Linked DNA regions of Caenorhabditis elegans. The protein of the gene in region 4 interacts with the protein of the main gene of each other region in a pairwise test. Each region holds a gene or a part of one and is shown on either strand. Other genes may lie near its edges.

What was found.
Region 1: the proteins of let-756 (region 4) and ftt-2 interact in binary tests that used the Caenorhabditis elegans proteins (3 or more experiments, as listed by UniProt).
Region 2: the proteins of let-756 (region 4) and kin-3 interact in binary tests that used the Caenorhabditis elegans proteins (3 or more experiments, as listed by UniProt).
Region 3: the proteins of let-756 (region 4) and rps-16 interact in binary tests that used the Caenorhabditis elegans proteins (3 or more experiments, as listed by UniProt).

The regions. Positions count from the first base shown.
Region 1 is NC_003284.9:11,602,592-11,607,623, forward strand, and holds ftt-2 (14-3-3 domain-containing protein), read right to left. Parts: upstream 2,829-5,032; 5' UTR 2,790-2,828; coding exon 2,739-2,789; intron 2,690-2,738; coding exon 2,317-2,689; intron 2,042-2,316; coding exon of another isoform or gene 1,878-2,041; intron 1,850-1,877; coding exon 1,686-1,849; intron 1,621-1,685; coding exon 1,462-1,620; 3' UTR 1,117-1,461; downstream 1-1,116. UniProt on the Caenorhabditis elegans protein: Required for extension of lifespan by sir-2.1. Required to modulate lifespan, in concert with hcf-1, acting redundantly with 14-3-3-like protein par-5. Promotes nuclear export of yap-1.
Region 2 is NC_003279.8:10,731,934-10,737,560, forward strand, and holds kin-3 (Casein kinase II subunit alpha), read left to right. Parts: upstream 1-2,088; 5' UTR 2,089-2,105; coding exon 2,106-2,144; intron 2,145-2,209; exon of another isoform or gene 2,210-2,323; intron 2,324-2,387; coding exon 2,388-2,558; intron 2,559-2,617; coding exon 2,618-2,745; intron 2,746-2,794; coding exon 2,795-2,879; intron 2,880-2,938; coding exon 2,939-3,235; intron 3,236-3,692; coding exon 3,693-3,817; intron 3,818-3,872; coding exon 3,873-3,954; intron 3,955-4,151; coding exon 4,152-4,307; 3' UTR 4,308-4,682; downstream 4,683-5,627. Other genes in the region: rpn-10 (26S proteasome non-ATPase regulatory subunit 4), read right to left, coding at 241-381, 433-458; mrpl-9 (Large ribosomal subunit protein bL9m), read right to left, coding at 705-860, 908-1,231, 1,280-1,404, 1,455-1,620, 1,666-1,725; nfs-1 (cysteine desulfurase), read left to right, coding at 4,816-4,884, 5,390-5,527, 5,572-5,627. UniProt on the Caenorhabditis elegans protein: Casein kinases are operationally defined by their preferential utilization of acidic proteins such as caseins as substrates. The alpha chain contains the catalytic site. May participate in Wnt signaling.
Region 3 is NC_003283.11:14,999,226-15,002,735, forward strand, and holds rps-16 (Small ribosomal subunit protein uS9), read right to left. Parts: upstream 1,317-3,510; 5' UTR 1,313-1,316; coding exon 1,163-1,312; intron 1,119-1,162; coding exon 834-1,118; 3' UTR 793-833; downstream 1-792. Other genes in the region: T01C3.11 (uncharacterized protein), read left to right, coding at 320-421, 469-596, 640-766; fib-1 (rRNA 2'-O-methyltransferase fibrillarin), read right to left, coding at 1,543-1,826, 1,874-2,424, 2,472-2,655, 2,704-2,743; mut-15 (MUTator), read left to right, coding at 3,488-3,510.
Region 4 is NC_003281.10:6,405,467-6,411,394, reverse strand, and holds let-756 (Protein let-756), read right to left. Parts: upstream 4,267-5,928; 5' UTR 4,259-4,266; coding exon 4,169-4,258; intron 3,901-4,168; coding exon 3,829-3,900; intron 3,780-3,828; coding exon 3,733-3,779; intron 3,527-3,732; coding exon 3,130-3,526; intron 2,827-3,129; coding exon 2,761-2,826; intron 2,717-2,760; coding exon 2,610-2,716; intron 2,559-2,609; coding exon 2,430-2,558; intron 2,173-2,429; coding exon 1,803-2,172; 3' UTR 1,362-1,802; downstream 1-1,361. Other genes in the region: C05D11.5 (Putative hydroxypyruvate isomerase), read left to right, coding at 267-509, 641-869, 955-1,024, 1,116-1,294. UniProt on the Caenorhabditis elegans protein: Required for larval development. Probably by binding receptor egl-15, negatively regulates membrane protrusion from body wall muscles during larval development.

The DNA.
Region 1 (5,032 bases), on a different chromosome or scaffold from region 4:
TCAACTGCTTTATAAAAATTCATATTTTCAAAAATTATTATCATTTTCAACAATCGTTAATTTTTTTGCAATTTTCAATTTTTAAGGTTTTTGGCAAATGAAACTTTTGTCATTTTTGTTTTCTAAATATTTTGGGAATGATAAAATTTTTCAAAAACATTTATTTTTAGAAGTTGGTTAAAAACGAATGTATTAGAACCATCATTATTCACAAATGCAATTTTGGGTAAATTGATTGTAATAAAGTTGTTCACATTATTTCGTTATGTTTTTTGCTTATATTTCCGAGAAAAGCTTCAGTTATAATTATTGCAAAATGTAGAAAATATAATGTTTGGCTTTCAAATATATGTAGATTAGTTACCAACAAATGAAACCCAATTTTTAATATTTAAAACTGCATTCAAAACAACAGGACTTCTTCTTCTTCTTCAAAAAAAACATGACAATTTTCGAAATTGTTTTTGGTATTCTTATGTATTCGGCTTTCAAACTTTTCAACTAAAGCACAAATGTTCATTTAATTGTAAAGTGGTACAAAAGTAGCTCGTTCCCAAAACCCTGCTCTTTCTGCATAGAACTATCTCAATTACCAGTGTACCAATTACCACTCCTTATATTATCGGCTGTAAAAACCCCAATTTTTTGGTTGTTAGCTGGCGCCGCCACCTGGCGTTGCAAATGAAACCTACCCGTCCAAATAAGTAGTTTTCAAGTATGTCACTAACCAAAATTTTGCTATATCTGTAAAGCCAATTTAACTAGAAATAAACCTATGAAAGTGTCATGTACCGGAGATTTAATCCAGGACTCCACCTTTTCTTATTCCTCAATGAATATGAACATTAAATTCTAGTTTTCATCTTTGTTCATATCTATAATAAATGAAATAAATTTTGAATTGAACCTTAGCAAGTGCCTAAGACGTAGTAGTTATCTTGGTTAAGGAAGAACAACCTGCAATAACAAGATGTCGCTAAAAGAAAACGTTCGTTTCAGTTTTCTTTTCTCATTCGAACTTTGTTCAATTGCACTAATTTTTATACATTTGGATGTCAATCGGAATCCTCCCCTCTTAATATTTCTTCGACGTGATTATCTGCGTTAATTTCTCATATTGAAGTTGGTGTTACAACTTTATTATGTGTATTCAAAAGCTTGGGGGTGTTTCGAATGTCGAGATTTGAAAGGGGGAAAAGCCGTAACAAAACGGAACATTGAATTGTATGGGTAGAGACGGGAAGTTTTGATGAGTGGGCTCAGCACAGAAATTTGAATAACTTCTGCATTTGGTTGATGGGAAAAGGGGAGTGATTGATGAATTTATAGAAAAAAATGGAAAGAAAAACGATGGTTTAACTAGTCAATGGTAATAAATAAATCATATGACAAATAGTATTATTTATCATTTTCAAGATCGAGGTGAGGGGTGTGTGGCGGTAACGTGTCGGTGTGAAGGAGTTAGTTGCCTCCCTCTGTCTCGTTGGCATCAGTGTCATCGGTGGCAGCGTCCGAGGTCCAGAGAGTCAAGTTGTCACGGAGAAGCTGCATGATGAGGGTAGAGTCCTTGTATGAGTCCTCGTTGAGGGTGTCGAGCTCAGCGATGGCGTCATCGAAAGCCTGAAAGATTAAAGGTAATCAATAGCTTTGAAGTTACGATGCTATGTCAAAAACTTAACGAGCACCTGCTTGGAAAGCTGGCATGCTCTATCCGGGCTTGCTGCTACTTCATAAAAAAACACCGAATAATTGAGTGCAAGACCAAGGCGAACACAGTTCGTTGGTGACAGATCTTTATTTGCAATTTCAAGTGCCTCCGCGTAAGCCGTTTGTCCAATGTTGGCTACTGCTAAAATAAAATAAAAACATTAACACACCTGCTTGGCAAGCTGGCAAGCCTTGTCCGGGGCGTTCAAGATCTCATAGAAGAAGACAGAGAAGTTGAGAGCAAGTCCCAGGCGGATTGGGTGAGTTGGTTGCATCTTATCCTTGGCAATGTCGAACGCCTCTTGGTAGCTTTGCTGCGACTTCTCGACAACCGCTGCAAAGAAGGAATATTCATTTCTGGTCTTCTTTGAAACGAGTATGACTATGAGAGGCAGAACTCCCTAGAGGAGAACCCCCAATGAGCTGCCCTAGAGTTTATTTTCAAAAACTACGCATCGATGTGGAATTGGGTCGCGCCTGAACTCCCGTTCTCTGTCTTCCCTATGATATCTTTCCACACTTCACACAAGGATGCATAGCTTACGAATGAGGGTTAGAAACGAGTGCACGGTTATGTCCCAATTACAGTCATCATTTTCAATCACTTACAGTTTCTGTCGTCTCCGGAGGCGACCTCAGCGAGGTAACGGTAGTAGTCTCCCTTCATCTTGAGGTAGAAGACCTTGGACTCGGCGGCTCCAGCCTTTGGAATGAGGAACTTGTCGAGCAAGTTGAGAACGTCTTGGCAGATGTCGCGGAGCTCCTTCTCAACCTTCTCACGGTATTCCTTGGCCATTTGTTGCTTCTTCTCAGATCCTTCGGTCTTCTGCTCAATTGAAGAGATGACTCTCCATGAAGAACGACGGGCTCCGACGACGTTCTTGTAGGCAACGGAGAGAAGATTGCGCTCCTCGTTGGAGAGCTCAGCTCCCAGCTCGGTGACCTTCTTCATGGATGCGGCCATGTCGTCGTAACGCTCAGCCTGAAATTAAAGTTTTAGTATTCAAGAACATCCTGAGACATCTACATACCTGCTCGGCAAGCTTGGCGCGGTTCACGAGCTCTTCCTTTCCGTCAGACATAGTTGATTTAGTTGCTTGAAGTGGATGAGTCACTGAAAAACGAGAATATAAAGAGTTTGATACAAAAAGGTCAAATGAGAAAGAGAAGAAAGAGGGCGGTAAACAAATGAAGATTGTTTGAAGAAAGCAAAGAATGGCTCCTTTCCGTATTCTTATATGATATGAAACTGATGGGACATTTTCATCTCTTCTAACACGAGGCGTATGAGCCCTTGTAGAAGTATACACAATGCATCAAGAAGAAACGAGAAGGACGTTGTCGAGCGAGTAATGTTGAACAGAGTGAGCGGCACCCCTCCCAGCCCTCCCTCTCGTTTTCTGTGCGTCTCTCCCTATCTGCCGAAAGGAGCGCGCACCATCATTTTAGGGTCTGTAAAAACCATTCAAACTGCGAATTTCAGAATAAAAATTATATATTCTGAGAGGGGAAAGTCTGTTTCATCAGCTAAAGTGAAGAAAATATAAGTTTTGATATCTGTGTTTAAAAAGAGCCGTTTGGCGCGCTACAAACACACAATTGCGGAGTGATTCGAGGGGGCTGCCAACAGAAAACCGCCGCCTCCTACGACTCATAAAGGGTCTCTTTCGCAATGTGTCAACAAGAGCGCGCACCACATTTCTTCTTTGAAGGAAGTCAACATAATTTCAGATATATTAGATGAAAATTAGATATTCGGGTTCGTCTTTTTCCGGGCTTTTAGTTGACTAGAAACTCGGCCTAAAATCTTGAACTTTGAATATTTTTGTGCAGAAAATAGGACGAAAACATCGGACATGCGGAGGCTTCTAGGGGGCTGCCTTTTGCCCACCCACCAGGCGCTCGGTCGTCATTTGAAGTCGCTCTGTTATTCAAATAGAAAGAGCGCTCACCATAACTCTTTGGGCCATAATTTACCTTCAAATTATCTTGAGTAATGTATGGTCTGAAAATTTGAAAATGTGACTACAGAAGCTTGCCGTTTTCAAAGTTAAATGATGATTCTTGCATGTTCCTGGATGTTTCTGGAAACTTGGAGCAAATTCAAACAATGCGGCAGCGCTTTGGGGGCTACTTTGACGACCGCTGCAGACTTGTTCTAAATCAATGACCAGCGGCGGTGGGCTCGGAGGCTCGGAGCTGATGCGGTTGGCTCTCGCTTCACAACAGCCTAGGATCGAATATGCAGGGCGCGTAAACATGCAGGCAAAACAGGCTGATAATCGTGTTACTTAACTTGAAAGTGCCTGGTATTTGCCTTAAATTACAAAGGAGATTCAGAAAAATAATTAGCATGATAAATTTACAATTCTAAACTACATATAAGGCCAGGTTCTATTCATTCTTTTCATTAATTCATATGTAGAATTTTACAAAAATGTTTATTACAATAGTATCTGTAATTTTTCCTGATGTTTCTGAAACTGTAACTGGTATTTTGTACAAACATCCATATCAATTAGAATTGGTGTCGCGGAACACATCCGACTGTTGTTTGATCTTCATTTTTGTTGTCTTCACTTCCGATTTTCGAGGAAGTACATGTACATCTTCATTCTTCCTATCCCGAAACCTTTCAAACCCCATTCTATCAAAACAGAATTAGGAACAACAGATGCGTGGTGTGGTGCGCAACTATACAGAGACCTTCAACGCAATTTACGTCTTATCTATTCCACATCTTCTTTCACCGTGCAGTGAGGTATACTCTTACTCATCAATGAGAACTGTTGTCTTACGGGAAAGATTCAAAAACCAGTGAACCCACCTTCAATTTGAAAAATACGTTTCTAAATATATTTATTCGCATTTCTCAGACTGCCCCAATTACCAAAATGGGCTTTTCATTTTTGGCCATTTCAGGATTAGCGGCCGACGGAGCAGTGAAGTCGTGGGAACCTATTAGATGTTTGGTCAAGGTTGTGCCCAGACTCCAAATTGTTTTGAACAAGGCACCACCTGCTGGTCATTTTTCAAATGTTCTTTCTTTCTGAAGGTCCTCTGAGAGATGGAAGGATGTTTGTAGTTTTCTTTATTACGACCACTTTACAATTCAATTCGGGGGAAGCATTTAATTTAAAATTCTTCTCTATGTGTGTGTGTGTGTGCAGATTTCAACTTTCTTTACAACTTGGCTCAATGAGACTTCGATACTTAGATATTGAGACTTCAGACTAACAGAAAATGAGAAATGAATGATCATGTGAAATAGGATATAAGCTCATAAAGTCAAAGTGCATAATACTCCCTAATGTAATATTCATGA
Region 2 (5,627 bases), on a different chromosome or scaffold from region 4:
GACAGGACATTTTTCGCTAAATACAAACGGATGTGCACCTTTAAAGAATACTGTAACTTCAAACGTTGTTACTGAATTTTCATCGATTTTCCAATGAAAATTCTAGAACGGCGAAAGTTTGAAACTACCGTACTCCTCAAAGGGGCACACCTTTTTGCATTTAACAAAATATCTTCGTGTCGAGACCAGGTACCGTCATTTTAGCGCAAAAAAACGTTCGAGTTTGAGTAATATACGAACTTTGCCATTGACAGAATTCCAACAGCATTCTCCGGATTGGCACGCAACTTGCATTGTGTAACAAGATTTACTGCATCCTGTTGAGATTGGAGCCGAGTTGGTTGGAAATCTCCGTTGCGCATGTATTCCGAATTGTCGACACTGAAAAGTAAATAATATTGCCATTGTTCGTATTATTCAAGAAAAACTCACCAAATCATAGTACTTTCTTGAACCATTTTGGAAATGTGTTGAGCACCTTTGTATGAACTCTGTAGAATGTGAGAAATAAAATTAAATTTAAAACAGTTTGACGAATAAATGAAGGAAGATATTAAACGGTGATTAAACCGTGAGCAAATAAATTAAAAATTATTTGAAGAATCAAATACAAATAAAATCGATTTTTTTCAAACAACAAAACAAGAATAACAAAAATAAAGAATTGAAACACATTAAATCTAGTCTGATTGATTATTAGAATTCTAATGTGGAGTTGTTGGTGCATGCTCTTTCATGTGCTCGAAAATTGGGAAATCTTCCGTGAAATCGTTATTTTTACTGTACAATGGGAACTCTTTTCGGATGGAATATCGAGCCAATTCCTCGTCACGTGGTGTTGTCAGTGTAGGAGAAATCATCTGAAAAAGGGAAATTCAATAATTTTCTACAACTTTTCAATCTTTACCTGTTTGGATTCATCTACTGAAATATGTGTAATCCTTCCTAACATAGGAACAATGTATTGTTGATTTACAACAACGTAGAATCGGAATAGTTTTGCTTCGATATCAAAATTCGGGCCAGAAATTGGTTTAGCGGCGAGGAAAATTGTATTTTCAGCAACGAAAACTCCCATTTGACGAAGTGAGCTTTTTACAAGATTCCTATCAATCGTCCATTGATTTTCCATATTAACTTTGATTGGAATGACCATTTTTTGCAAATCTCGTCCAACCACTTTGAGCTCATATGGAATTCTGATTCGAGAAGCAAGTTCTTCAGCCATTCGCTGAAATTATTATTTGATTGAAAAATATAAATTAACATTAAAACCCACTGTTTTCATATCTGAATAGTACTTTAAATCAAACGGCGACGCGTAGACGGCTTTTTTAGATAATAGTAAATCCTTTCGGGCCAAAGTCCGATCCACACTAACCACATCGAACTGATGGCCAATTCCTGTAAAAATGAATTTTTTACATTTGCTTTCTTTTATTTTAAAAAACTACCTTCAACATCTTGAAGTAAAATCACATTAATCGGACCAGCGGATTTTTGTGTTTCGAACTCAACAACTTCGTATTTCTGGTAATCGTGGAAATCATTGGGATTTTTCTGTACTCCGCCGGGCGGTGTGACTTCTGGTTGGAATACTCGGCGCAATACCCATGTGTTCTGAAGAAAAACATAAAATAACTTATTAATTGCTTCAGAACTTACTCGGCTTGCCTGGCGATTAATATGTTGCACAAATCGATGAAGCTGTGAAGCTGAAAGCATAATTACCTGAAAATATCAATTTTAATTAAGTGTTTCGCTGAAAATAAAGTGATTTCATTCTAAAATACAGAAATAGATGAGAAAAGAAAATGCGCGCCGTTGTCGATGATGACAAATTTAAAGGCACACCGACTTTCGCAGCGGGAATATCTCACCACGCACGAGTTCACATTTGGTTTTTTCTCTGCGCTCTCTCGCATTTGCGTACTCTTTTCATGTTCTGGCATGTATTTTCAAAATTATTCGGGTTTTATCAGTTTTCCCGAGATTTTACTATTTCTACTGAAAATTTCGTTCTAATAATTCAATTATAACAGCCGTTTTGTCAAAACTTGCTCAAAAATAACGTGTTACTTGTTTCAGATCGTTATTCTTGGGAAATGCCTCCGATTCCTAGCCGGGCGAGGGTCTACGCCGAGGTGAGCAAGTTTGTATAGCCAGGAGTTAATTATTGAACAGAATATATTGCTCATACATAACTCACAATGACGGAATTAACGTTATCCGTTTAGTTGTGGAATACTGTGAAACACTGTACGCCACATTTGTTAGATTTTATAAATGTTCATAGGAATTTATAGTCTCGTAAAGAAAAACTATTTGTAAAAGTCACTAAATTATGTTTTTATGAGTTTATATATTATAAATCACAATTGTTTCAGGTGAATCCGTCGAGACCACGCGAGTACTGGGACTATGAGGCTCACATGATCGAATGGGGACAAATCGATGATTATCAGCTGGTACGCAAGTTGGGACGTGGAAAATATTCGGAGGTTTTTGAAGGATTCAAGATGAGCACTGACGAGAAAGTTGTTGTCAAGATTCTCAAGGTAAGTTTTACAAAAATAATTGTAATAAAGCTTTCAAAATGTAATTTGTTTGTTTTCAGCCAGTCAAAAAGAAGAAGATCAAGCGTGAGATTAAAATTTTGGAGAATCTTCGTGGCGGGACAAACATCATCACCCTCCTCGACGTCGTCAAGGATCCTATTTCGAGAACTCCGGCTCTTATTTTCGAGTTGGTTTACTATTTGAAGATTTTTAGAATTAATAATTTCTATTTGAAGGCATGTTAACAATTCGGACTTCAAGCAATTGTATCAAACCCTCAGTGACTATGATATCCGTTACTACCTCTACGAGCTCTTGAAGGTACTTTTTTCAGCTGTCCATTAATTTTTGAATTCATAACGTTTCAATTTATTCTCCAGGCTCTCGACTTCTGCCATTCTCAAGGAATTATGCACAGAGATGTTAAGCCGCACAATGTGATGATTGACGCCGAAAAACGGGAACTTCGATTAATAGATTGGGGATTAGCCGAATTCTATCATCCAAGACAGGACTATAATGTTCGTGTTGCTTCTAGATATTTCAAGGGACCCGAGCTTCTTGTCGATTATCAATGTTACGATTATTCGTTGGATATGTGGAGTTTGGGATGCATGTTGGCTAGTATGATCTTCAGGAAGGAACCATTCTTCCACGGCCATGATAACTACGATCAGGTAAGCACTTTAAGCTGAAGTAGCAAAGAACCGCAAATCCACAAATTTCATTAAAATCCAATATTGGAATATAGAAAACATTTGATTTATCTGATTATGGCTTTTATTTCAGTGAGAACAATGGGGAAAAACGCTTAAAAAATTACCGGAAAGTTTAAAATTTCCGAAAAAAACCGAAAATTTTCCAATTTTGAGCATTTTTCAATTGTTCCAGCTGCAAAAAACTATTTTCAGATAAAGAAATTATTTTTTTGAATTCCATAGCTAAAATTTTACTGATAAGTTTGGCTTATTCCGTAGAATTTCTTGCCGGCGATTGATTCGCACCCCTGAGCTGAAATTTAAATGAATAAATAATATTGTCAGGTATTTATTAAATATTCATCAATAATTTTTATGATTTTTAATATTTTATAAATTCACGAAATCTGATTTTCTTATAAAAAGTTTTTTGCAGCTAGTCCGCATTGCAAAGGTATTGGGAACTGATGAGCTTTACGAGTACATTGCGAGATATCACATTGATCTCGATCCACGCTTCAACGATATTCTCGGGCGACACTCAAGAAAACGCTGGGAAAGGTATATTTTGATCGAAGCGAAGTTTCATGTTTTTCTTAAAATTCATTTGTTGTAGATTTATCCACGCTGAAAATCAACATCTTGTCACCCCAGAGGCTCTTGATTTCCTTGATAAACTTCTTCGCTACGATCACGCGGTAAGAATCGGAAAAAAGAGAAATTACACCAAATTAGTTACTGAAAACCAGTTTTAACAAGAACACAGAGAAATAAAAACAATTTTCACTTGTTTTATTGAAAAAAAAGACATTTGATACTCGAAACTAACTATAAATACTTTTATTTGTTAAATTAATTTATTTCCAGAACTTTTAATAAATTTCACCATATTCAGGAACGCCTAACTGCTCAAGAGGCCATGGGTCACGAATACTTCCGCCCAGTTGTTGAAGCACATGCTCGTGCCAATGGAACTGAACAAGCTGACGGACAGGGTGCATCGAATTCCGCTTCTTCTCAATCCTCCGATGCCAAAATTGACGGCGCTTAAAATTTCTTTCTATTTTTTTTTTAATTTTCCTGTTGACTATTTCCTTTTTTATTAATTTCCACACCACTCCTCTCCATCATTATTCCTTTGCTCTAAAAATTGGCTAAGATATTAAATCTTCCCCGCTTCTCCGAAAATTTCCCTCTACGTACCACAAAAGTGCCTAATCTTTTCGTGAGAAACGTTCTTTGCAAATTCTATTTTTAGGATTTTTTTGTGTAATTCATGCCTCTGAAATTCCGTTTCAATTTTAAATCTTTTTTGTCCCATTTCATATTGTTCTCCTTCTTCTCCCCTTTCCTCTTCCTCAAACAACCACAATCATCATTTTTATAAATCGAATCACAGTTCGTGAGAAAAAAAACTGTTACTTGTAATCAATATTGTCTTTGGTTTGAAAAACCTACTATTGTTCCTATGTTGAGTTGTGAACTATGTTCACTTTTAGAGTTTTAGATTTAAAATGCTCAACGGACGAGTGCTCCTTCGATCGATTGCTCGCCGGACAATGGCATCGAAAATTGAGCCAGGATCTCCGCAGCCGATTTATTTGGATGTTCAGGCTACCGCGCCAATGGTAATTAAATGGAAATAATAAAGCATGATTAAAAATAATATAAAAAACTTGTATCTGGAAAAAATTAACGAAACTTTTCAGATACAATTTAGATTTCGAATGAGTTTTTTTCTAACCTAGGCACAGTTTAAGCTAGTAGGCATTCTAAAATTGCGGCTTATGGCCTAAAAAGGGCCTAAGCGAACAAAACCAGCAATAAATTATGATAATTATATGAAAACTGATTTACGACAGCGCTGCGACACTGAAAATATGACATTTTACAATACTTTGAACCCATATAATATTTTTTTTTTTATTTTTCATAAATTTTCAGAACATTTCATTGCGAAATTCAGTAGTTTGAGACCATTTTTGGTATTTAAAAAACCAATTTCTCAGTTTTCGGTTCTCTAAATGTGACTAAATTATTTTATTTCCAATTTAAGTGAAATCGTAGCTTAAGAAACTAGGAAAAAAATGTGCTGGGATTTTTTTTGAAATTCCAAATTTTAATATTTTACAGGATCCTCGAGTAGTCGACGCAATGCTTCCCTATATGATCAATGATTTCGGAAATCCTCATTCAAGAACTCATTCATACGGATGGAAAGCTGAAGAAGGCGTTGAACAAGCGAGAGAACATGTTGCAAATCTTATAAAGGTTTTTTTTTCTGAGAGTTTTATTCAATTTCCTTGTATTTTCAGGCAGATCCTCGTGACATCATCTTCACTTCTGGAGCCACTGAATCAAATAATTTGGC
Region 3 (3,510 bases), on a different chromosome or scaffold from region 4:
ATTTCTGATTTCTTCTGGGTCAATGTCATTTGTCTGTTTTCGTATGTTCAAAACAAACTGTGAACAAAGTATTCAATCTTTTTCCGCATATCAGTGTTGTGTTTGATTGCAGTTCCTGAAAAATTGATTAATTGGTTTTTCAATCTAGCTCAATACTAGTTCACAATTGAAAGAAGCAGAGAAAACTGTCAAATTAGCGATTGTTGTATGCTGAACTCTGCTCAAACATTGACTCCACTGCAATCTCTCTGTAGATTTACTTTCTCAATTTATATCCAGTCTAGCAGAAGGAGCATATCTTAATTTCAGATATTTTATAATGCGAATAACTGCCATCATTATTCCAGCCTGCCTGATTCCATGTTTAGTATCAAACACTGAAGCATCCTTAAAAGTCTACACGCAGGAATGCATATCAAAGGTTTGAAATGTTTAGCTCATCCTGAAAAAATTCTGCCAATATTTCAGGCAGACTATTCGTCATGTGAAATGTTCAACTCATGTTGTGATTTTCGATGTAGTCGTGCTCGGCAGAAGAGATCAACGTGTACAATAAACGGAACGGGAATCAGCGAAGTTCAAACTGAGTGCATTTGGTGAGTGTTTCTATACCATACCAGAATAAGATTGAATTTTAAGCTCTAAACCAATACAACAATTCGAAGTTGCCTACACGAGAAAAACTAAACACTCAAGATTGGACCTCATCGCCGGAATACTATTCATTTTTGTCCTTGATATGCTTTTGCTCAGCTTCACTTTCTAAATCTTTTTAAATTCGATCTCATAAATCTTTTTTTTCAATAACAATTTTATTGTGCAACAAAAAGAATTTAACGGTAAGACTTCTGGTAGCGAGCGCGGGCTCCTGGTCCACCGAACTTCTTGGACTCACGGCGTCTTGGGTCAGCAACCAAAAGGGACTTGTCGTAAGCGGCGAAGATGTTCTTCAATTCTCTCTTGCTCTGCTCGTCAACGTACTTGTGGTAGTAGGCAACGAGAGCCTTGGCAAGGGCTTGACGGACAGCGTAGATCTGGGCAACGTGTCCTCCACCGCTAACACGGATTCTGATGTCGACATCCTGGAAGCGTTCCTTTCCGACGAGGAGAAGTGGCTCCTGAAAAATACAAGTTAGTTGGAATTTAATGTCGGAACAAAAACCTGAAGCTTGATGCGCAGGATCTGTGGCTCCAAGAACTCAAGTGGGCGACCGTTGACCTTGATAAGTCCTTGTCCCTTTTTGCAGTGAGCGACAGCGGTGGCAGTCTTCTTGCGCCCGAAGGTCTGAACCGATTGCACGGTAGACGTCATTACCCTGTAATAATATATTAAACAAAGAACAAAATAAAGGTTACAATTAAAGTAGAATAGAAATATCGGCAAGGTTGAGAACCAAGTAAAGATAAAAGTAAAACATCCCTAACATGACAGCATCAACAACATTTTATTGGGAAACAAGTAAAACAAGTGTTAACGATCAAGATGGAGGTATACATGTAACAAAATAACAAAACAAAAAAATGTAACGATGATTTTGGAGATCAGACCTTCTTTCCCTTGACTGGGCGGTAGACAGCAACCACGACAGCGTGGTCTCTCTCATACGGCTCCAGGGTTACCTGCTCAAGTGGCTTGAACTTCTCCTCCTTCAGCTTGTTGACTTCACCAGCAAATACAGCCTCGGGCTCAGCAGTACTGTCAATGCAATTAGCTTTGATAGAGATGACGGCATGTCCACCGTTGCGAAGGAAGTTTTGGGCATTGAGAGCAACAATACGAGCTTGATCTGGCTGAGCAACATCAGAAAAGATGACATCGACCATTCCTGTAATATAAATATTAAACACAAAAATGCTTAAATTTAATACTTACCGACAAGCATGCGGTACTTGTGTGGATGTCTGGCATCTTCGACAATTGGGACAACGTTTGGTCTCTTCTTGGCAACTCCCAAAAGGTCACGTCCAGATCTGTGAGAGAACTCAACAGCATAAACGATTCCTTCTGGTCCAACGACGTCAGAACAATGGGAAACAGTAGTTCCAGAAGCAGCTCCGAGATAGAGAAGTTTGGTTCCTGGCTTGATGTGAGTGTTCTCCAATCCTCCCATGATGGAAGCAGCGAGCTTAGAACGGAATGGATTCCACACACGGTACTCGATTGAGCCAGCTCCGTCATCGACGGACACTCTCTTCTCTCCGTACACGGACTCTCCCACAACCATGTTCTTTGTGGCAAGAGCATCTTCCTTTCCTTTCACGATGAATACTCCACCGAGACGATGTGGTTCGACAACGACAGTCTTTCCTCCTCGCATTCCACCGGCTCCTCCGCGTCCACCACGTGGTGATCCTCTTCCGCCTCTTGGAGATCCACGTCCTCCGAATCCTCCTCTTGGTGATCCACGGCCACCAAAACCACCTCTGAAAAATTATCGTTTTGATGGCGAACAGAATTATAAAACACAAACCGATCACCACCGCCTCTTCCTCCACGGAAACCACCGCGGTCTCCACCTCCGCGTCCTCCTCTGAAGCCTCCGCGATCACCTCCACCGAAACTGCCACGATCACCTCCGCCATATCCTCCACGACCACCGCCTCCAAATCCACCTCTGCTACCACCACGGTCTCCACCGCGTCCACCTCGGAAACCTGAAAAATAATATTTATAATACGAAAAAATCCTGAAATTCAGTTTACCTCCGCCGCCGCCGCCACGATTGAACTCTGGACGTCCCATACTACAAAAATCGATTATTTAACAAAAACGAAAAGCGAAATTACGAAAAATACATACCTCAGCCGTGGGAGAGCCGAGTAAGATTGAGAATTATCCCATTTCACTTAGAGTCATGGATTTAAATCACGCTCCAGTCGATCTGAATCGACTAGAATCATCCACTATTCTCAAATCTACTCTTAAAATCCAAGAAAAATTGAGAAGAAACGAACATTTCAGGCAAAAAATGACGAAAAAAAATTTGGGCGAACCAAAAAATTACGAAAATGGAGAAGACATTGGAGGGAACTACGGTGGAAAATGGCAATCGCTGCGAGACCTGCACAGTGGAGCGCACTTGCCACACAACCGACACTTTATCGATTCGCAAGCAAACAGCTCGCGTAGAACGAAATCAGGCAATTGTAGGCGGGGCTTTGTTCTAAAATTGAAAATCAAAGCGATATGAAAGGTGGTTTTGATTGAAATATGCAAAAACGTCAAGCAAAAAAACAGGTTTTAAATTATGATACTAATCATGGCTTCGAAAAAAGGTTGAAAACTTGATAGATGTTTCACGTTTCGTTGTCTCAGAAACCAGAATATTCCGGCCGATGTTTTGAACGCAGCGAAACCGATTCCCATTCTGTTTATCGATTGCTGGAGCGAGTCGAGCATTGAAAAACACTCCGGAGTTGTTCAGATATCGCGCACGGGTTTAAATAACAGGATTTGAATGGAAGTATTTAGATAAGTATCAAAGAAATGGATAACTCCAATGGAATCGG
Region 4 (5,928 bases):
TTTTGCTATCGGATATTTGAAAATTTAGCGATGTTGCGCCTTTGAGGATTACTGTAGTTGTCACTTCCCGATATTTCTTGCATTAAAAATTCCAATTGCAACTAAAAATTCTCTGTGTTGGAATTCGAATTTTCATTACTACAGTACTCTTGAAATCCGCACATTTAAAATTGGCTTTGAGATCGGCTACCGTAATTTCGCGGCAAAAATTGTCAAAAAAAAGACTTTACATGCTTCTTCTAAATTTTGCACACAATTTTTTTCAGATACGGAGCAGCCGCCTCCGCGGGTTTCAAGCTTGTCGAAGTGAGCATTCCTTACACGGAGCCAGCCGAAAAACTTCGTGAAGCAGCTGATGAGTATCATCTTAAACATACTTTGATCAATGCACCGCCCGGGAATTGGGATGACGGATTTAGAGGATTGGCTTCTTTGAAATCGGCGAAAAAGGAGTTTAGAAAGAGTTTGGATACTGCGATTGAGTATGCGAAGGCTCTTGGATGTTGTAGGTCAGTTGAGGAAAGAGGGATTTCAAATTAGGAACAATGTGCATTGGATGTGATGTATTGAGTACGTAGTGTCTTTCAAATCTTATTAATACTTCAAACGGTGCAAACTACAGTAATCTAAACAATTTCAGAGTTCACGTAATGGCTGGAATTCCGAAATCGGATGATGACTTGGAAAATGCTCATCAGACCTATTCTGAAAATGTGCGTTTTGCCGCCGAAAAGTTCAAGGAGCACAAGTTGATATGCCTCATTGAACCAATCAATAAGTACACTATTCCTGGATATCACTTAAATAATTATGAAGATGCAATGGATGTGATCCAAATGGATCAATCGAATAATTTGAAAATTCAATATGTAAGTCAATAGAACATAAAACATCGAATTTTATGCACAATTTTTTTTGAAAATAAGAATTCGAAAAGTAACTGTAATTTTTCAGGACACATTCCACGCTCAACAAATCAACGGACAAATTGGAGCAATTATGAGAAAGCTCAAAGATTATATTGGTTAGTTGAAAAGGATGATGATGAAAATAAGCTTACGCCCTATTTTTCTGAAATTACTTTTTCATTCGTCGATTTTTTTCGAGTTTTTCAGGCTATATTCAAGTGGCTCAAGTTCCAAATAGAGGTGCATGTGATACACGCGGAGAAATCGATTATCATTTTATTTTCGATGAAATCCGTTCGATCAATCCATCATGGGTTATTGGTGCTGAATATTTGGATGCAAAGCCTTCATTCAATTGGATTGAGAACATGTCTCTAAGTTTTTGAATTACCTGTCTTTGTAAATTCGCTCCATTGATAATTTTTTTAAAATAACAATACATATTTTTCAAATATATATTATTCATAATAGTAAGTTACAGTATGTTCAAAATACAAAACCCGTGAGTATGGAATGAGACACGTGGCGAGTTGGGGGTGTTTTAGAGAGACTTGGAAAACATACTTAAAAGGGGCGAGCTTGGGAAGAAAAACAGTAGTGTACGCAAATTGTCGTATTTAGAGCATGGTGTGATTTTAAGAGTCTAATACAGAAATATTATGAAGGTAGAAATAGAAAATTAGAAAATTCGTTGTGTGTTTCAATATTCACAAGAAAGGGTTTCATTTCTAAAGCACCGTGCCTTACGAACTTCACGACAATGTACTGCGCTTCTTCTCAAAATCAGCCCTGATAAAAAATTAATTAAGCAAAAGAAGGCAGGAAGAAATGGAAAGAAAATGAGAAGATCATGATGATAGATGCTGTGCGGGGTATCATAAGAAGAGAGATCGTTCACGGGTATCGTTGATAGTTAACATTCTGACGGTTTGGATTTGACACTGTCTGAGCTAGATAGTGTTGTTGTGATTGATGACGTTGTTGAGGGTCTGATGAAGAGCTGACACGTGGATGGTGATGATGATGGTGATGGGAATTGTGATGAGGAGCCTGTGTCACTGGAGACTGCCAATATGGATTGTATGCAGGTCGTGGAGATTGTACTGTTGATCTTGTTGGAAGAGGTCGATACGTTGGATAAGGATTCGCTGGATTTTGAGGACGATTGTACCGAGTTTGAGTAGATGCTTGTTGCTGCTGTTGTTGTTGATAACGACGTCGGAGTTCTTCTTCACGAAGACTTTTGAGCTCTTGGCGACGGGCTCTGAAATACGTTTGATAATTGGTATAGATCTAGGAAAGTCACACGTGGAATCATCATAAATGTTTCAAATAGTTTTGTGCTACCTGGCATTGAATTTATTTTTGCCGCTCAAAAACTGAAACGGAACGATACCCAAAAAAAGCCATTTCAGTCTGGCTTCAAATCTTAAAAACCAAAAAAATGTTCTGCTATTTTTCAATACTTTCATAATAATTCTCAGTTCTCTGCGCTTTCTTTTTCTCAGAATAATAACTAACTCTCTAATTTGTTCCTCTTTTCTTAATCGATCTTCTCTCCTTCGTTTCTTCTTTTCTCTTCGTCTTTTCTTTTCTTCTAATAATCTTTGCTTCTCAGCTTGGTTCGTCATTTCCACTTTTGCTCGTAAACTACAAAAATTTCATTAGCTCTAATCTGATACTTTTGATATAAATGCTTACTTTGAAATACGATGTGGATTTGGTGGTTTTGTAACGGTCTGCTGTCGGAATAATGGATGACTGGGAGGTTGGTGAAAGAGTGAAGCAACTACCAGATCGGTTACGTCCTGAAAATCAAAAAGTTGAAACTGTATGTCTCGAAAAAACTCACATTTCCATTTGGAACGGGACTTCGTAACCGGTCAAGATCGTGATGAACAACTAGAAAATGGCTCGCCTGAAATATACGGATAATGTATTTCAATCAAAAAAAAGTGCACACGGATTTCTTTATGTATCTAGCTACAGTAGCCGCGAGTACGGTAGGAACTTATTGAAACGAGAGAAAAGTTAATGTACATATCAGGAAATATTCGCTCGTTCCAGACCTCGAGCTTCTAATTTTTGGTAAAAACCACATTTTCTTGCGAACATATGCTCGAAAATATACTTTAATCGGGTTTTAAAAATTATTTTTCTAAAATGTAATAATATCTCCGATACGAGCTGTCAAAGCAGAATGAGTATATATTTCACTTACTTTCCGACGTTTTTTTGAATTAGGACCTCTCCTTGGTTTTCCACTCCGTCGTAATTCAATATACCAGGGATTAAACCTGTCACCATAAGCACAAGACGCATATAAATTGTAATAATTTTCCATCATTTCTTCGAGAAAAACGCATTCTGTTGAATAATTAGATGATGGTGTTGCATATAATTTCCCCGATGGATCCATACAAATGAAATTCTTTGTTTCAACTCCTCGAATCGATACAAGACTCATTGCCACTGACACAAACTCCACTATACTGAATTTGGAACTCTCCTCTTTTGTTCCATGAACTTTGACACGTGTCGATCCATCGTCAGGATTTTCGATAGGAAGCATCTCCAACCAGGTTCCCGAACGACAAAACAGGGCTCCGCGGCGACGGCTGGAAGTAGAAATTAGTCAAAAACGCAATGCCTTTGAAATCATTGGCAAGTTTTAATTTTTGATCATGATCACTTCGATTAAAAAAATGTTTTTTGTTGTTTTTGATAAATTGTCGTTGCCCTGTGAAAGAAAACAAATTTCAAGAATTGAGTAAAAAATCCGAGATCCCTTGTTACAAAAAGTTTGAAAAGCTTAAAAACTCACTCATCAGCAGGTGGATACCCATTTTCTTCTTCATCTTGTAGTTGTTTCTGGAAACCATTTTCAAGTTTACAACTGTATCTCTAATTTCAAACTCACTCTGATCCGGTCCACTCGATACGGAGCACATGAATTTATACGATCGGTTACAAAATTTGAATTATAGAATCCCTGAAAATTTATTTCTAAGTTTCAGTTCATATCTTAACTTTGAAAAAGTAATCAATTTGTGGGAGAAAAAAACATTATCCTAGATTTTCTAGTGTGCTATAATTTTTTCCAAAAAACATAGAGGTGTCAGATTCTTAAGTTACTGTATGAATATTTCAATTTTTGGTTTTTTCACATTTTGAGTACATATAGCTTGAACTTCCAAACGTTCTTAATTCAAAAAAAAATTAAAAAATTAAACATTTATGGTTAAAAGAAGTAAACTTACCGCAAGAAAAGGTGTAACTGGTGTTGTCAAAAAGTTAGAAGTGGCTGCTCCTCCGTATGAAACTATCGATGAGGCGGCAGGAACGGCCATATATTCATCTGAACATTTGAAGAAATTGTAATGATTTGGAAATATTGAAGAACGAGGAAGTAAGAGTCAATAAATGAGAAAAAGGGCAAGTACAGAGATTCGGGAGCAAACAATCTTCACCTCCGCCTCCACTCCTTTTCTGGCACGAGTTTGCACTCAGGCTCAGTTGGGAGAAGGCTCAGGCTTTCTTGCAAAATGGAAAATTGTGATGAAAAAAAAACAAATAGAACGGTAAGATTGGAATGAAGGAATGCAACAATGAAAGAGAGTCTATTGAGAAAACAGATAAATAGAAACAGATCACAATGACCAAGTTCAATAAGATGCAAAATAGAGTTTAGAGTTTGTTCGGGGGCATTAGAAGTATCTTTGAATAAAAACTTTAAAAAGAAAGAAGATTATTAATATTCTATCTTTATATTTGGAAAAAAGTAGTATACTACTAATTTAAAATCCGATAATCATACAACAAGTTCAAAAATTTATAACATTACAAATTTTTTATAAGAAAGTGATTAAGAATTTTGAGAAATATGAAAGTATTTTTTGTAATCTAGTTTTTGTGAAAAGCCACATATTTTGCTTGCAAATTTCCAAAATGTTTATTTTTCCCAAAAAAGTTGTTGCTCAACTTTAAATGTCTTATGGTTCACTCAACAGATTTTAGAGTAGGTAAGAGGCAGGTGTAGGCTCTGCATTTAGGAGTTTTTGTGTATCTGTGGAAAATTTCAACAACGGTTTTTTTTTCCGAGAAAACATATGTAGTTTTGGCAAAGTGATTTGAACCGATTGAATCATCACAAATTTTCACAAGTGACGACAAAGTTTTGAGATCATATTTACACAGTTGTTCATAACATTTGTTCAAAATAAAAACACAAAAAAAAACTTCAAAAAAGGAGGAAAAATAGATCAAAATAAATGAAAAGAGCATCAAAATGTGTAGGATCTCTAGGCTATAACAGAAAAATACCATTTTGGAAAAATGCCAATTTGTAGAGATTCCCAGAATAGTGTCATATTTGTAAATAAAAAACATCCCCCGCAAACAATACTCTTCCGAAAATGAATGAAATTTGAGCTAATAAAGTATGATGCATTTGGAAAAATAGTAGAAAGCGATACTATTCTGAGGAACTAAGAATGACGTTCGATAAAAAATGAGCAGAAATAACACATAATAATATGGTTCAAATTTATAGCAAACATGAAATTACGAATTCCATGGTAAGTTAAGAATTATTCACATTTTCACGTATGTGGAGATGGATATGTGAAAAGTAGATGATTAGTTTGACAAAAGTAAGTTTGGAAAAAAATAAGTGTTTTTTTGGAATACTGGAATGAAGTAAATTTATATTGTCTTACTGTTAGAAAAATGAAAACATGTTAAAAAATGCTTAATTGAAAAAAAGCATAAACCGAATACGGTATTTCATGAATAGGTATACGGAACAGTCGTGGCAAGACCCATTTATGAGAATCTAGAAATATATTTAAATGTCTGAGTGTGAAAACTTGAAAACTAAAATCCTATAGTACCCGAAAAATCATATGACAGAAGAAAGATCAAGAAAAATATGAGTAATAGTTGATGTAGGAAAAAGAAAGAAATCGAGGATGAAACGTGTGAGATAATAATTGATAATCAATGAGGATACAAAGACTCT